Schizosaccharomyces pombe: one gene and its partners. The gene in region 1 interacts genetically with each later gene. Each region holds a gene or a part of one and is shown in the gene's direction. Other genes may lie near its edges. The genes, in order: fbh1, rad2, rad55 and dbl2.

What was found.
Region 2: mutations in fbh1 (region 1) and rad2 are lethal when combined (synthetic lethality), as found in Schizosaccharomyces pombe (3 studies listed by BioGRID, with this or other methods).
Region 3: of fbh1 (region 1) and rad55, a mutation in one rescues a mutant of the other (synthetic rescue), as found in Schizosaccharomyces pombe (2 studies listed by BioGRID).
Region 4: of fbh1 (region 1) and dbl2, extra expression of one rescues a mutant of the other (dosage rescue), as found in Schizosaccharomyces pombe (one study listed by BioGRID).

The regions. Positions count from the first base shown.
Region 1 is NC_003423.3:2,731,368-2,736,624, forward strand, and holds fbh1 (DNA helicase I, ubiquitin ligase F-box adaptor Fbh1), read left to right. Parts: upstream 1-1,842; 5' UTR 1,843-1,928; coding exon 1,929-3,738; exon of another isoform or gene 3,739-3,778; coding exon 3,779-4,605; 3' UTR 4,606-4,717; downstream 4,718-5,257. Other genes in the region: SPOM_SPBC18A7.02C (seven transmembrane receptor-like protein), read right to left, coding at 1-594, 646-724, 778-846; SPOM_SPBC336.16 (uncharacterized protein), read right to left, coding at 1,334-1,549. UniProt on the Schizosaccharomyces pombe protein: Involved in ATP-dependent DNA-unwinding in a 3' to 5' direction, and ATP-ase activities stimulated by the single-stranded DNA-binding protein ssb1.
Region 2 is NC_003424.3:5,389,058-5,392,968, reverse strand, and holds rad2 (FEN-1 endonuclease Rad2), read left to right. Parts: upstream 1-1,546; 5' UTR 1,547-1,707; coding exon 1,708-1,720; intron 1,721-1,789; coding exon 1,790-1,880; exon of another isoform or gene 1,881-2,057; intron 2,058-2,065; exon of another isoform or gene 2,066-2,261; coding exon 2,262-3,300; 3' UTR 3,301-3,383; downstream 3,384-3,911. Other genes in the region: SPOM_SPAC3G6.07 (uncharacterized protein), read right to left, coding at 319-696; SPOM_SPAC3G6.05 (Mpv17/PMP22 family protein 1), read right to left, coding at 3,574-3,646, 3,716-3,813, 3,878-3,911. UniProt on the Schizosaccharomyces pombe protein: Structure-specific nuclease with 5'-flap endonuclease and 5'-3' exonuclease activities involved in DNA replication and repair.
Region 3 is NC_003424.3:2,065,933-2,069,521, reverse strand, and holds rad55 (DNA recombination mediator, RecA family ATPase Rad55/Rhp55), read left to right. Parts: upstream 1-1,607; 5' UTR 1,608-1,757; coding exon 1,758-1,773; intron 1,774-1,817; coding exon 1,818-2,854; 3' UTR 2,855-3,080; downstream 3,081-3,589. Other genes in the region: SPOM_SPAC3C7.04 (transcription factor), read right to left, coding at 1-758; eisosome BAR domain-containing protein Pil2, read left to right, coding at 3,518-3,589. UniProt on the Schizosaccharomyces pombe protein: Required for radiation resistance and meiotic viability and acts in recombination and recombinational DNA repair pathways.
Region 4 is NC_003421.2:308,338-313,450, forward strand, and holds dbl2 (DNA recombination protein Dbl2), read left to right. Parts: upstream 1-1,976; 5' UTR 1,977-2,201; coding exon 2,202-4,349; 3' UTR 4,350-4,558; downstream 4,559-5,113. Other genes in the region: qns1 (glutamine-dependent NAD(+) synthetase), read right to left, coding at 1-71, 116-144; SPOM_SPCC736.02 (uncharacterized protein), read left to right, coding at 4,846-5,113.

The DNA.
Region 1 (5,257 bases):
TTGACACCAGAGTCTCTCCTAACCATGTGAAGTTCCCCCGATTTCTCAAATTTTCTGTATCCAACACAATAGAAGTGACAGCCTGTTGAGCACACGAAAAGATTAGCAAGAACATAATTGCCTTTTGAACGGTAACAATCGAATGTTTATATTGAAATCGGAAAAACATCCAAAGTGCAAGAATTACACTATAAGCGATTGTGATTCCACCAGATATAGGCATTCTAGGGAATTGAGAAGCGGGAAGCCCACCATACGCATTTTGCCAATTGACAAGAGCTTGATAAGGTAACATTTTTTTCGAATGAGACCAAATGCAATAATAACCTGACTGAGAGATTTCATATATAATGTTTTGAGGGTCAGCATTTGTCGGAATTATATAAGAACGAATGGATTTTGCTGACGTTGAGTTCCACAAATATAGTCCCAGTTGATCGGCTTCACATAGGTGATCCGTGTATACCGCATCGTAATCGCAAATGTAAGTGAATTGATCATCAGAACGGAATGCACCTAACTTGCGGATTTCTTTCCAATTGAATATCAAAACCTCAACTTCATCTTCTTGACCCCATGGTTCAGTCCAATTCACTAACGTCGTAAGTTTTTTAAATAAAAGCGTAAAAAAAGATATGTACATACCATAAATTGCTGGATTTAAAGACCCTCCAGATTCCGATTTCGAGTAAATGCCATTGCACAATTCATAATGCTTGAAATTCTAGCAAGAAGCCGCAGTTAGCAAATGATACGCAAGAAATCTGATTGTTTTACCAGTAATGTTTTTTCTGAATAAACTATGGAAAAGAATATACTCCATAGAAGAGATATCAGTAATTTCATGGTTTATGATGAGAGCATTAGATTTTTTATACTTCGAAGGACTGGGAACAAAAATTAAATACCAATGTTATGTAAATCAATGTACAAAATATTTTTTCCCAAAACCGATTCACGGATTATCTGCCAAAGTTGAGATTCAGAAGTTGGTGGAGGTTATTGACTACTTAATAAATAGTAATTTATTTATAGTTAGGCGATTAGCAAGGTTCAAAAAATAGCTGAGAAAGGTGTTGATTCGAGCCTGGACATCAACATTTTAATTAATTTTTTCTTTCTATAAACAATTTTGCTTGACTTGCTGAATTTCGCTAAGGATCAACATCATTGACTACTGGTGAATTCTTTCTTTGTTATCGGCCCAGAAATTACCAACCGTAAAATGTATTTTCCGCAATTAAAGAAAATTGTGAGGATTTATCCTTCTATTCGGTTTCATTTAATAAATTGAGAGCATTGATGAATAAATAGACTAGGTGTAGAAAAAAATTTAGTTGACGAAGCCGAATTTAATACCGCATGTTGTCTGGTCTAAACTTCTATTTTTGGTGAAACCGGTTTCCATTAAAATATCAACAAAAGTGATATTGCTAAACGTGGCATTTATAGTGTCTAAAGAAAGTATAATAAAAACCAACCAAGAGGTCGTTGATGAGAAATAATTATATAAATAATTAGTTAAATCATGAGAATAAGAATGATACATCAATTAATAAAAAATTACAATTTACAAAATAAAGTAGAGGATTTTTTCAACACAAAAAGTAATAGAGTCTTTTTGAGTTAATTATTTATTCAATGAAACTTACTTTTACATAAGAAATTATGGGAATTCTTTCAATTTGCAGATGGTTAAAGTATTTCTGTAACGACAGCATGCTTCGGAGAGAAATAATTATATAGGTTAAGGAATGTATTTTATTTTAAAAGATTGGATTTATTTTAATGTTCGTTGCTCATTCATAAACTAGTTCTGGTATTTTTACTACTCTTAAATTTGCACATACCCAACCAACAAGCAATTCTTCTAATGCAATTTGTTCTTTCTTTTCAGTCAAGCACCCAGTCAGCAAATTCTTAGTTATATGAGTGCTCAACATTTACATAGCTGCAAATTTTATAGACTGCCACTTGAAATTATCCCATTGATCTGCAGGTTTCTTTCTGTTCAGGATATCCAAAGTTTCATACGTGTATTCCCATCCTTTCAAACTATTTTAGACTCTTCTAATGACCTTTTTTGGAAAAAGAAAAATTATGAGTTACGAATTCGTCGAAATCGATTGCTTCGTGGTTCTTATGCTGCTGGTGTTTCGAGCTCAGCGATGAATGGATTTGTCAATGGCACCCAAATTTCATCCACACCAGCTGAGAGAGAATACTATAGTAAATCAGATGAAATAAAAAATATTTGTGGGCTTCCCCCGGGTCCTATGAAAGTGGAACAAATTGGACATGCTATTGACCATCTTGTCAGTGAGACTCATACAGTTGATCATCTTGGAAGTTCTATTAAAGCATCTTTTTTTCACATAGATGATGTTCCTTTAGAATGGATAAGCTCAATATGCATGCAGGTTCAAAGCTTTTTCTCCCCTGCAGCTCGAGAAGCTATATCTTCTCTAAAAAGTAGGACTACTACTAGCAATCTGCTTTTAAGTTTGTTCGTAGGGATACTATTTGAAGATGATTTGTGGTATTTTTTCAATACGCTTTATATGCTATCTTCAACGTCCGCTATAGAATTTGCTTATTTTCTGGACTCTATCTTTACTGTAGTCCGCACAGATTATGAACATTATCGTGACCCACTTTCACAAACACTAATTACTTCGTGTACTAGGATTCACAACATTGTAGCTGTCATTGAATCCCCTTATGATGAACCTAACACTAAGGGCCTTACCTCTGAACAAAAAATGATTGTTGAATGTCAATTAAACCCAGGAGAGGTTCTAAAAGTTAAAGCATTCGCTGGTACTGGCAAAACCAAAGCATTATTGGAATTTGCCAAGTCTCGTCCAAAAGATAAAATTTTATATGTTGCTTTTAACAAGGCCGCAAAAGAAGACGCAGAATTACGATTTCCATTTAATGTCAAATGCTCCACCATGCATGGTCTTGCTTATGGTGCTATACTTGCACAGGCCGATTTGCCGCAAGCTAAACTTGAGCGGCAATTATCAAATTCTACTATAGCTTCACTTTTGTCTTTGCAAGTTGCATTTCCAAAGGCAAATCGGAAAAATAATCCGGGTACACCATCCGCTAGCTTGGTAGCTTCTCATATCATGTTTACATTAAATAGGTTCATGCACTCCACTGACTGGCAGCTTGGTTTTCGTCATATAAGTAAAAGAAGCCTGGAAGTTACAAAACTCTCTAAAGAGAAGCTTTTGGCTTATACAAAAAAATTGTGGTCTCTTATTGTAAACTTTGAATATACCCATGCTCCTCTCATACCTGATGCATATATGAAATTATTACATTTGTATGAATTCCCTAATATTTTTTCAAAATATGACTACATTCTTTTTGACGAGGCTCAAGATTTTACTCCGTGTATGGTCGACCTTATTTATCGTCAGAAACACGCCCGAATTGTCATCGTTGGGGATGCACACCAATGCATTTATGGTTTTCGTGGTGCAAATGCATGTGCTTTCAATGAAAATTTGTACCCTTCCACAAAGCAACTGTGCCTTACTAAGAGTTTCCGGTTTGGAAACTCTGTTGCAAAATATGCAAATTTTTTGCTTTCATTAAAGGGAGAGAACGTTAAGCTTAAAGGGGTACAAAATGACCATGCGTATTGGTCTTCAGCAAGTAATCCCAACAATGTTAGTGGAGCGTTTCGATTTTTTCCTCATACGATTATTTTTCGCACTAATAAAGGTTTGCAATGGTTTATATTGATAAAAGCTAACGTATACAGAATTAATCCTACAATCGATTCGGCTATCAGTGTCATTACCTAAGGAGATACCCATTGCTATTCTTGGCTCAATGAGGAAAAAAGCATTCCAACTTTTGCGAAGTGGTTCAGAACTAGCGCATGGGCAGCGCCCTTCGCACCCAAAGTTAAAAGACTTTTCCTCTTGGGGAGAATTTGAAGTGCACGTAAAAAACTCAGCCGAAGAAGATGCCGAATTGGCTTTAGTATATGATATGGCCGACGAATTATTTAGTGAAAGCTTTCTGAGCCGATTGGACAATTGTGAAAAAAGATTGATGGACTCTAAAGACGATGGTGACAACGGTATTATTTTGGCAACAGCACATCAATCTAAGGGTCTTGAATGGGATAATGTTCAATTGGGTAATGATTTTCGACCAAAATTTGATAGTGTTTCTTTTTCACGAATTGGATCTTCGAGGTACTTGCAAGAGGAAATCAATATCCTTTATGTTGCTCTTACGCGAGCTAAAAAACGCCTTATCCTTAATGACACTATAACCAAATTATACGCATTAGAGTGCGGACTTGTTCGTTTTGCTGGTGGCATTTTAACGGAAGATCAGCTGCAACCTGGAAAAGTTGCTCTTTTTGTCGACTGGCAGATTGACAAGTTTAGCTTTTTTTATGAAACCCCTGCTGAAGGATACAATCTTTTGGTCGAAGCAAATGAGAAATCAGTATGGGATATATTTTTTGGAGTTCTTTCAGGCGCTTGGCAGAACTATATTGCGAATACATCTGAACGGCTTAAAAGATCGATGCTATTTATTGAAAATCAATTGTTTGCTGTACATGATCAGTAGAAACTATTTGATTTGTTTCTTTTAAAATCTATTTTAGCCATATTGATTGATGTACTATTGCTATTACAACCTTTAATATATAATCATTTAATAATATGTATATTCGTGTGGACATTTTCATTATAGAGCTATGTTACTATTTCGCTTATAAACGTAAACTCATATCAATCTGTCGCTGCACTTTCCATGTTAGAGTTAAAAGTAGTTGTAGTATTACACACAGAAAGCCATGGAAATAACCCTTCGTGTAAATAAACAGAAGATCAAGTTATATTTGTGCTTTAAAAGATTCCTATTAAGTGAGTCGATGACCCAATTAAGTGTTTATACCTAAAACATACATAAAGATGATTTCAAAAACTAGCAAGCAAGAAATTACTTCCCATCATCTGAATTCCCACGCAACGCTAAATAAACAAAAAACAAACTTTTGATACTCTCGTTAAGTGGCTTTGCTAACAATATAACGCAGTTATAAACAGTTTGTATTAGAATTAAGGTACCGAAGGTCGTTTGCCTTTATTAGCGTGTCAGCATACTACACTACGTTGCGTGTCACTATATGTCATATGTTGGAATACTAGTTAAGATCCGTTTGTTGATAATCACGGGTGACTACCCGTCTATATGAATAGATTCCTTTTGTTGACAA
Region 2 (3,911 bases), on another chromosome or scaffold:
TTCAAAAGGTTACAGATCGATTTACTAAGCTACAAAATTCAAAAAACTTAAAAAATTCAATACTTGCAAAGCAAAGAAGCAGAAAAAAAGATCCAAAAAAAAAGGATTACATTTATTTTGTTGAATTTATTATTTTTTTTAAAAAATAAATAACTTAACTAATGAATCACTATTTAGCAATTCTCTTTAGATTTGAATCCATAAAAATCATAACAATAAGCGAAGCAATATAACTGGTATTTGCTTATAAAATGAGCGATTCATGCAAGCAGAAAGTTCTTTAAAAACAAAAGAAAACATTAAAATAGATTTAGCACTTCACTTTGGCGTTATAATATCTCCATGTTTTTTTACATGATCACGATACACTCGATATGGTAAAACCAGTGTATACTTTGGCATAACAAAATCATCTCCAACAAACGATTCATCCTCAACATATGTTTTAAGAAATTGTAACACTTCGGTTTGATCAGCTTTAGTGAGGTCGATGTATATATACAACAAATATGAAAATTGGAAAATGGTATTAGCAGTTGCTTTATAAACCACAAACGATTGGTAATATTGTCTACCTTTGTTATAATAGTCTATAACATCAGGAATAACACTGTTTTTTTCCTTTTCATTAGAGACATCTTCTCCTTCGTAATCGGCAGGTGCCAATGTTAAGTATGGCGAGCTTTGTTCAGACATTGTTCTTGCTTTCACAGGTAAATTGAGGTTGCACTGGGATATGAGTATACTGTAAGCAAGGCGCGCAGCATCTCATATAATATTCTTTCAACGAGCCGACATTAACTAGAATTTGCCAACGTAAGATCAGAATGACGTTTTGATCCGCACGAAATACGTCGGTAAAGGAACCTTATTAGTAGAATATTGCAATATTGTTCGTTGTCTGCATACTACACAAGCGATACCATAAACTGGTTACGATTATATTTTCGACGATTCAGTAGCAGATATGGCGAGTTTCAAATAATACTCTCTTGGTAAAATGCCTATTATCCAACATTGTTCCATGAATCAAGGCTATTGTTCTATTAAAAATATTACGTTGAGCAATTCAAGCGGCTTTCTCACTACGGTATCTCAGTACCGTAAAACCACTGGTTTATTCTCATAAAAACAACCTTATGTTACACAGACTTACATCTAGCCAAGTCAATAGGGTTTCGGTAAAGTTCCAATGTACTTTTCATCCTATTCCTTATCCGGAAAAAGGAATCGATCATTTTTCCAGAATTTCTGATGGTACATTACCTTTTCGAGATCTTTTCGTGGTAGTAAACTGCGAGGTGATTTACATTTTACAGCCGTGCTGCCACCAAAACCACAAGAACCTCAATTTGGTAATCTTAAAATTTCTAATTTGTTCCTTCTAGAAATCCTTTTTTAAAAGCTATAATACATGGGAATTTTCAGTATAAATTGGCTGGTCCCTTTCCTTGTATTTACATTCTTTGGTCGATCATTCTTTATGGAAAAGTAACATGTGATTTACTGAATCGACTCTTTGACGTGGATACTACTGCTGGTAGCTAAGAACCTTTGTGTGAGTGAGCAAAGTAAAAACTGCTCGATTTTGAGGAGTATAATACATCTAGCAAAAATTGAAAATTTAATAAGAAGCTCTAAGCTAGTTTTGGAGAAAGCGTTGTTCGGGATCTCGTAATATACATAAATAAGTATATTTGCTAAACGATGGGAATTAAAGGTATGTTACATTTAACGCTAAAGAGTTTATCTTTTACTCTCTCCTTTACTTAAAACTAATCTGGGTTAGGTTTGGCTCAAGTACTAAGCGAGCATGCCCCAGCCAGTGTCAAACATAATGATATTAAAAATTATTTTGGACGGAAAGTGGCTATAGATGCGTAAGTTGAAAGACTAAATAGAAAGCGAAAGTCTCAGTTGACTTGGCAAAGACTGTATGGCTTCTGATTTTGTTTGTAAATATGGGTTAAACACTATGGTGTACAGTTTTTATTGCTAAAGAGCAAAGCTCTATGTCTTAACTCGAGACAAAGATATGATACAAACGAAATATAGAATAAAGGATGAATAAATTTTCACTAACAGTGACTCGGTTAAATTCATTGCTCAAGGTATTTTACATCATTTCTTTACTTTGTTGGTTCTTGAAGTTGCAAACACTAATAGGTCAAACTCTATTCAACTGATTCTTTCCTTTTCGAAGGGTTGATTTATAAAGTCTTCTTGAGGTACTTTATTAATGCTAATTTCGTATATTACAGGTCAATGAGTCTTTATCAATTTTTAATTCAAGTTCGCAGTCAAGATGGTCAACAGCTAATGAATGAACAAGGCGAGACTACTAGTCATTTAATGGGAATGTTTTATCGTACACTCCGAATTGTCGATAATGGAATAAAGCCTTGCTTTGTCTTTGATGGAAAACCACCAACATTGAAGTCAGGGGAATTAGCTAAACGTGTGGCCCGACATCAAAAAGCACGAGAGGATCAAGAGGAGACAAAAGAGGTTGGTACAGCTGAAATGGTGGATCGGTTTGCCAAACGTACGGTCAAAGTTACTCGGCAACATAATGACGAAGCAAAACGTTTACTAGAGTTAATGGGAATTCCCTTCGTTAACGCACCCTGTGAAGCAGAAGCTCAATGTGCCGCTTTAGCCCGTTCAGGAAAAGTTTATGCTGCTGCTTCTGAGGACATGGACACATTGTGCTTCCAAGCTCCTGTACTTTTGAGACACCTGACATTTAGTGAGCAAAGAAAGGAACCAATTAGTGAGTATAACATAGAAAAAGCATTGAATGGTTTAGATATGTCGGTGGAGCAGTTTGTAGACTTGTGTATTCTTTTGGGTTGTGACTATTGTGAACCTATTCGGGGAGTTGGCCCCGCTAGAGCCGTCGAGTTAATTAGGCAATACGGGACTCTCGATCGCTTTGTCAAAGAGGCGGATCGATCAAAATATCCTATTCCGGAAGATTGGCCTTATGAAGATGCCAGAAGACTGTTTTTGGATGCAGAAGTACTTCCTGGTGAAGAGATTGAGTTGAAATGGAAAAGTCCCGATGCAGATGGCATTATACAATTTCTGGTTAAGGAAAAAGGTTTCAATGAAGATCGTGTTAAATTGGGGATCAATAGACTAGAAAAAGCCTCAAAGACAATTCCACAGGGTCGTCTTGATTCCTTTTTTAAACCAGTCCCTTCTTCTCCCAAAAAACCTGTAGATACAAAGAGCAAAGGATCAGCAAAAAGGAAAAGAGATTCAAATAAGGGTGGTGAAAGCAAGAAAAAGCGTTGAAAACGAAGTCATGTAATTGTTATTAATCTAAAAAAAAAACTTAAAAAAAGCAAGACGCATGTAGATAAAACTATACTACGCTATAATAATAGTAAATCTGTTTAATGCATGACTTTTACGTAAAAATAATTAGTCTAAGGAGGTAATTCTGATCATATAAGCTAATAATGGTATACAAAACTCGTTTCTAAGTAATAATATGCCAAAAAACAATCTGGCTGATACAACTCAAAAAACGAAAAGCAGTGGATTCGGACGATGGATCAAAGATCTTTAAAATAGTTCAATTTCTTGTGAGCCAGATTCTTGCATTGAAGAAGCGTTCTTCAAACTAAGAAATATGTTCCTAATTGAAATTAGCAAAGGCGAAAAAACTAGGAGCAAAAATGCTTTATGTCTCTTGGAAACAACATACCAAAAAATAGCAACCGTACAAGCAAATGGCATTTGGTATTGTAAGGGCATTAGCCAAAAGTTCACAGTTTGAAAGAAGGGCCAGACCATATAATTAGCCTTTAAATGTTAGCAACAATACAACAGAACCATTTAAGAAAGAAAATTTAGAAATTAAGTGTACCTTTAAAGTGGGCCAGAAAACAGCTTGAAGTTTA
Region 3 (3,589 bases), on another chromosome or scaffold:
CTCAGCGCTTTTTGAACAGCATTTACATCATGTTCATTCGGAGGATAACTGTGATGGGTATGGGAATACGCGCTCAGCTCGGAAAAAGAAGGATCGACAAGTAGTTCACTTTGAACAGAGTCAACGAATGCTTCACCAGCAGAAGCTCCTATATAACGGGATTCGCCGTTAGAGTCAACTTTTATTTTTCCAATTAATTTCATGATTTCGTCAACGCTTTGATCGCTAGCATCAGCATTGATTCCATTGTTCGTATCCTCTGCTACGACCGTTGGATCTTGCTGAATTTGTGAACAAACAAGTGCACCTTGTGTAAGGGTATCCACGTCACGTTGACTATTGGTGCTTTCACTATTGAGGGAAAAGACATCTGAAGATAATAGTGATTTTTGGTTGCTTATACGATTGCAAACTTCAATCAATGAAGGTGTAGTATAAGTCGAAACTTTGGTGGAACAAAGACGTTCAACAATATATTCTAAACACTTGTATCTTTTTGAAAGATCAATAAAGTAGTCCTTAGAATAATCCATTTCTTTTTCATCCTTTACTGGATATGTGCATTCCAAATTATTGGAAGCACAAGCTTTGCATGGGTTTGCCCCGTCGCAACGAACTTTCCGGGCTTTGCAGTTAAAGCAGGCTAGAACCACCCTTCTTCGTCTCTCCATAGGAACACGACGTCTCCTATTATGCTGCTCCTGCTTCATGGCTTCGAACAGAACCGCCGTATTTTCAGGTGAAAATTCATGGCTCATTTTCCCCGTTTATGTTAGTAAAATACCAAGTTCATACCAATTTCCATAAATTTAAAATTCTTTTTCTATATTACAGAATTTCAATTCTGAAAAGAGAAAATGCTTAACTATGGCAATGACTTGGCAGAACTTGATTAGTAAATGCCTAAAAGAAAAAATTGTAGTACCCCAGCTCCTATGTTCTACTGGAGGGCGTAATTTAGTGTAGTGGTACGAACCTTTTTTATCAACGAAATCTAATATATACACATATTATTAGTATATGAGACCTTGTTTATACATAACTTTAAGAAAAAATCTAACCGATTTTAAATTTTTGAAAAATAAATACTGCTTGTATTGTACTTTGAAAATGGGAACTTCCGTCAATTTCTTTTCGTTGACGAGCTTATACGTTTATTGAAGCATGGCATGCAATCGATTTTTGTTAATAATTTTCCATTTTAGTATTTCTTCAATAAAATGAGTATTGTGTACATAGTAAACTAATTGCACACATATCGGTCGACACGCTATTTCATAAACGGAATGTAGTACGAAAATAATAGCTATTTTGATTAAAACCCTCTTGAGTTTCAATACAAATGTAAATGTTGCGTTATATGAACCCAAAGTTTAAAGTTCAAAGTCAAAGGCAGTAATGAATCATAGATTCAAATGAACTTGAGCTTACTCTTGCATTCCTGTTGACCTACCTAGTCAAATTTCCCATTATGTATAAAGGTTACGAATTTGTTACCTTCTAATCTGCTTAACCTTAAGACTAAAATAATTTATTCCTTATAAGAAACAACATTTAATGAAATGATTGCAAAGTAAAACACGTAGGATTTCCTTTGTCGTTCTACCAACACCTCCAAACCTTACAACGTATCGTTGTTTCTCATGTAAAGGGAAATTTTCCTATATCCTTTTTATGCTGTTATCAATTTAATATAAACTGTATCGCTGTTATTCTAGTAGGTCGCACTGTGCTGGATTTAACCTTCATTGAAATAAATGCTGTCTAGTCAACGTATGCGACTTCCAGCCTAGCTAACTGTGTCTAATACTTTTTAGATCGTCTAGTGACTCAACCTGCTATTCGTGCGTACGAAGCATTTTCTGCTCCAGGTTTCGGCTTTAATTCAAAATTATTGGATGATGCGTTTGGAGGAAGTGGTCTTAAAAGAGGGTATATTTCTGAAGTATGTGGAGCACCTGGGATGGGAAAAACAAGTTTGGCTTTACAGATTACTGCAAACGCTCTTCTTTCCGGTTCTCGTGTGATTTGGGTCGAAACTTGTCAACCAATTCCCATGGAGAGACTTCGTCAACTATTAGACAATCACGTCCCTTCTTCCCAAGATGAAGAGGAAAAATGCGATACTGATGAGTTATTAAATCTTCTCGATGTTGTATATGCACCCAATTTAGTGAATATTCTAGCTTTTTTACGAAATTTCGATCAAGAAAAACATCTTAAAGAAATTGGATTATTAATTATTGACAACCTATCAATGCCTATTCAACTTGCATATCCAACCAGTCCAGAAGATTATGCTTATCTACGTCTTCGTCGTAATACCAGCAAAAAAAGCTCCCTTTCAGATTCATCTCAAAAAGAAAACACTTTGACGTTAAACAAAGAAAATGAGTTCTCGAGTAAAGACGACTCGAATTTTGCATTTCATAACTCCTCTACCAAAACAACAATAAACCGCAGAAAAAAGGCAATCGGTACAATCAGTTCTTTGTTAAGCAAAATTACATCCTCTTGTTATGTGGCTATCTTTGTTACCACCCAGATGACTTCAAAAGTTGTTAGTGGGATAGGTGCTAAGTTGATACCGCTTCTCAGCACTAATTGGTTAGATAATCTATCTTATCGGCTCATTCTTTACAGTAGGCATTCAACTGAAGAATCAAAAGATGGACAGAGTCGTCCCTCTCATCAGCTTCTGCGCTATGCATTCATGGCAAAGCAGCCACCAGCTCATTCTGCAGAATCAGAGTTGGCTTTTCAGTTAACATCTACTGGTATTCAGGATTATCAAAGTATTCCTACCAATAGCTCACAACGACGTAAGAGATCCATTTTGGAATGTGAGTCCTAGGTAAAAATGGTGGCTTCAGTTACGAATTTTTTAGCATAGTGATGGTTGTTTTGCCCATATCTATTAATTTATTATACCTATTCATTACGTTGCATAAACAACTATGAATACTTGTCGAGTGTTGGTCAAAAGTTTCTCAATGATTTATTTGTGATCTCATATCTTTTCATAATGTATCATAAGCTATTTTGTTCGTTCATTTTTATGAAATTGCTAATTGTCATAGAGGAGGGAAATGATTAAGATATCTATATGTTTGCTGATTGACAAGTCCTTATTAATTTTCAATTGTTTAGGTGTCGCATTCAGTGTACGGACAATAATGACATTATGCTTTCGACATATAAATTCCATGTTGACATAGTGACGTCTCAAGCCTAGCTCAAATCTTTAAAACATGGGTTCAAGTCGCTAAAAATCTACCTGAACTTTACAGCTCTTTTGTTACTTTCGAAAGTGTAGTCTAATAAGTCCATTTTGAGCCTGACCTTATTTATACTTCGCTTTGTCTAGTGTGAGTTGGCGGATTAAGTATGTTTTAATGAACATTGTTTCAACCTACCTCTAATTAACATACTAACCTTTTTATTAGTATTTCCTTTCTCTTTTTATATATACATATTTTCAAAGTCTTAAATCGTTTATCAAGTAATTAGCAAGATGATGGGCACTCAACCATCTTACTCTATTCATACGCTTCGCGCGCCTCCTAAAGCGAAACAGAATCAAATTCCT
Region 4 (5,113 bases), on another chromosome or scaffold:
TCGCCTCTTTGATGGAATCAATGATGCGTAGACGGTTTCCCTCAAAGTCCATTGCCCACTGGTTCAGCTGACTACAGAAGTTAGATCATTGAGACGAAAAATGATTATAGCATACCAAGATGCGATGGTTACATATCGTTCCATAATGAACTGAATGCTTAACTTGAGGTTTATTCCCAAACAAGTAATTTAACTTATAATGTTTTTTTCGTACTATAAAAGTTCCAACTATGAGTGAAGATCGAAGTTTCTATTCAAATGTCTATTCACGGTTATGGCAGTAAGTAAGAGCAGGAGGTAGTTGTCATAGTAGAGTCAAGTGTAAATAAAGGGTTCGCATCATATAGCAAAAATGCCAGTTTCCCTAAGTAAGAAAAAGAAAATTTAAATAATTTTAAAGACCCTCTCTGATATTAGTAAAAAGAACCTTAATACTTCTTATGCAAATTTTGGCGACTCTTCTAACTACATGTGTATTAATTGTACATTACTACATAGCTTAAAAATTGATTTATAAAATCAGAATAATTGTAATTTTTATTTGATATTGCAATACAAATTCTAGTTTTAGCGATATATCTTCTCAAGTGAAGTCATTTCTGGGACTTCCTTTAATAAAAAAATTTGCCTATCTTTTTCAGATATACGAGCTAATAAATGAAATTTTTTGATTTAAAGTCTGTCTGGTTTTATTAGTGTTACTCGCTTATAATTACAGGTTTTTTGATGATTATAGAGCAAGCTGATATCTGGAATACGCACAACAGTAATTACATTTTTTTAATAGTACAAAATTGTTTTAATTTTATCCTTGAAAATATTTCATGATTTAATTAATATACTTAGTTCTTGGAGCATATAATCGAAATTACTTAGCTTAAAGAAGAAGAAGCAAAGCGACAGATGCCATAATGGTTGATACTCATTTTTTAACTCCCCTTCAGTTACTTCTTGTTGCAAATTATAGACAGATGATTCTTCAGCTGCTCAATAAATTTAATAGTTTTAGTGATTGCAAAGATCAGTCTTCTTTTTTGAAAGGGTATTAATTAGAATTGACAAAAGATTTCAGGTTTATTATTACAATGAAACAACTTTCTTCATCTTCTTGGGCTTTTTTCTCCTAAATTTCGTCCAAGTACTAAATTTTAGGTAAATTTCTATCAGTGCGCTTAAACCAACTTTAATAACTTAATTTGTACCTATCTTCGACATGGTGATGAGAATTGCAAGTTCAAGATTTCGAGCAGAATTACCCTCTATAGGCCTTTTATGTTGCTAAAATTATAACATAAGTACTTTTGCACCTAATCGTATCATCAATCATCTTTGATGAATTTTCTTGCCTGCAAACCTCAAAAGCGATAGAAGAACAAAAGAATCAGTTTTATCTCCAACTGCTATGTTTAGATTCTCTATTATAATGCGACGATAGATACAAATTTACAAGATAAATAATTTTACATTACGAATATTTGAAGCAATCTGCCTCTGTAAGCTCAACTGTAAACTTCATGGTTTAAGGTGAAAAAAGACATCTTTTTTTATATATCATTATGTATACACACAGTCTGTCCCTATGAAACTATCAATCGGGATTATTAACCATTGTTTCCGTTTCTCGATACAGGATATTGAAAATTATCTAACAGTTTTGCTTCCTTGGGCACTAAGAGACCTTTTACTAAAGAAAAACCCATCAAATATTAGACCTTGTAGATTAGTAAAATTAATAAAAATAAGCATCTCTCTTGAAACCATCTCAAGAGATAATCTGCTTCTGCTTGCGTATTATAAAGTTACCTTCAATCATTTCGGCGTGTAAACAAGTACCTCATATCAATAACCAAAAGCTCAACTCGTTTGTAGTTCATAAAGAAAAAGAAAAGAAAAGGAAACCTTGTTTAAGGATTCTACAAAGATGTAATTTTCTGGCTTGAGATCATTTACTTTCCTAGATTTCAACTTTCTGCTGTATACCAACCATTTCCTAACTACCATCCAACAAAAGCACGTAATTCCCATTCCTAAAGCGAGAGCAATTAATGCTCAAATGAGGTTTATACATGAAATAGATATTCTCACTCTTATTCTTTAATTAATTATTAAATAGGGTGGTTTGTGAGTTTTTTTCAACAATATTAAGCTTTTCGTAAGCCACCTTTCGGAACTGCCTTTACAGGCTTTAAAACTTATATTCTATGGATACAAGTTCCAATGTTTTTCATTATCAAGTATTGTGGACGTCTGATAAAGCAAAAAAAGTAAAAGTTTGGAAAGATGGGACAATGCGCTTCCACAGCTTCAATAATCGTGGAATTCTCTACGATTCTGATAACCGAGTCGTAGATGATTTTTTCCTTAACAACAAGAGAATTGTTCTGGATTCTGAAATTGAATTTAATAGAACTATTGTTTACGTTGAGAATTTACAAACAACTACTGAAGCGAATATTCCACCTATACCGAGGAAATCAAAATTGAGTGAGACAGGGAAGAGGCCAGCTTATTTATTAAAACCATTCCAGCCTCCATTTCACTCCGCTAACTCAGATGTATCTAACAATTCAAATGGTGCTTTATCGTCAAATATGTTAAAAACACACGCTCATCATACAAATTCAACAAAATCCACGATCTTCCGGAACGCAAATTTGCAATCTTATGGAGTAGATGACTCAGATATTGGTAGTTTGAGATGTTCAAGTAAGCATCAACTGTCAGTAACACCGGAAATACAACCCAAAGCTAAGTTTAGACCAAACTCATATCTAGCTTCTTCTGTTGAGGAATCTAATCGAGCTAACAATACCTCTCCCTATCCCCCATCTAACTCATCCGTAACTGCGCTACCGAAACCTTCGAAAATTGCATATATCCCTGTTTTGTCAAAACCCAAGTCTTTTAATGGCACCTTGGTTGAAGATCCTGTAGAAGAATTTGGAGAAGACGACATAGCTTCTGACTTTTTTTCTTCCCCTTCTGCCGATCTCGAGGCAGATGATTTTACCACTCTAAATAATTCAAATGCTGGTCATTTGTTACAAAACCTAAGTAATGATAACGTAAGTGTCTCCGTGAAGGCATTAGAAAATGGAAATGAAGAAGTTTCTAATAATCATGCTCGATCTCCTCATTCTTCCCGCGCTTGTAATACCATACCTTCCAACAAAAACGATGGGCTAAATGATGATCATCAAAGACAAGATTCTTCTGTTGCAGAACCCAGTCCTACTTCTAAACGTCTCCGTTTGACTCGCCTTCCGTTACCTCTGCTTCGGAAACCCACGGGGAAACGACAAAACTTTATTAATATCACAGTTACCGACCCCTCAAAAAACTTGTACGAAAGAAGTGTCAAAACTGCTGCCGAGCTGGCATCGCTTCAAAATGTAACAGAAACAACTGATAATGAAATACCAAACTCTCCTGATTTTCTAGATGCAGCATCAGAAGAGGATGAACACATTCCTTCGCTAGATTCGTCATCTCTTTTAACACCTTTGGCTTTGCCCAACAAAAAAGCCTTTCAACCCGTGAAGTTTCGTGTACCGTCTTTTTCATCTCCTTTAGTTAAACCAGCATCTTCGTCCTCGTTTGGTAGGAGTCACTCTCACTTAGGCACGTCCCTTCGCTCAAACGAACTTAATGGATCTAGTGCTTCTTCTTCAATCTTTCTACAATCCAACAATGCAGTCAATCCTAACGTTTCACCTTCTACTGTGCTTGAACATGCCAAACATCCTTCCTTGGCCAAACATTCAGGTGTATCGCTGAGAACAGGCTTGTTGATATATCCTAAATATGCAAATGGTTCGAAAAGAAAAGACGGTTTTGGAGCTACTTCTATAATATCTTCAGGGGAACATTCGTCGTTGCCTAAAAACTCGAAATCCAGAAATGTGTCGGTATTTTCTAGCCCTTTTAATGTCCCTTCGTTTACTGTTTCTTCTTCGGACCAAGTCCAAAAGAAAAAAGGAAATGTTCCTAATGCTATTGAAACGGACTCTTCTCCTTCGGATACCATTTCATCCTCGCCTACTGTTCGAGCTGTAAATCTCTCACCCAGCAAAAACCAAAAGCCTCCGAAAATACTTACCAAAATTCCGGATATTTTTTCTAAAGCGGGAAAGAAATCTCCTATTTTACCAACTTTTCAAGAGTCTTGTTCGTTACCTATTGAGCCTTTTTCGTCAAACATTACGGATTTGCCATTTGTAAATACAGTAACACTTGCTTCAACGAGTAGCAAGATCAAAAGGGCAAAGTTAAAAATGCTAAAATTTAAGCATGCCATGACTACACAAGGACGCGATCTCGATTCGGACGAAGATGGTGACTTTATTTGAAATTAATTTTTCTTTCGTACGTTGAAACTTCTCTCTCAAGCCGACTTTGTTACATATAATTTTTAATTCAAAAAACAGTACTGAATTTTGATTTCTGGTTTCCTTCATGTATTATTATCAACATTTATTTTTCCATAGTTCATTTAGGTTTTAGCTATACTTATTTAGCTCTTTTACATATAATTAATTTTTTTTTTTTAAACATTAGATTTCAGCTTGTTTTTGGTGTTGTTAGTACAATTCTAGGTTTTGATTTTCATTTTTTAGTAGCACATACATTGCTTTTTCAAAACCTTGAGTTTCTTCTTTGAACCTTTGAGCAAATAAGTATCAGATTTATTCTTTTCTTTTAAAAAACCAACTATTTGGGTTATTATGAAAATGTTGTAAATATTTTAAGTTAAATTATCTTTTGTAGTCATTTATTTTCTATACATGTTTAAATTTTTCAGCACTAAATAGTGTCTGTTGGTGAGCTCCAAAAATCTTGTTAAAGATGGGTAAAAAGCGAAAACAGACCATAAAAAATGACTATAATGAAAAAATTACGAAAAGAAAGGTCAAAAATAATTTGACTGATGGAAAAGCTAGAGCGTTAACGGTTTTTGAGTCTTTACCTTTAGAAGTTTTAAGATTAATATTTTTGTTATCCAATAATTCGAATTTGGCAGTGACTTCTCGTAGTTTGAGACACCGATTATCTTTAAGGAATAATACGCCTATCTTCATGCCTATTGATTTTACTCTTTCAATGGTACCCAAAA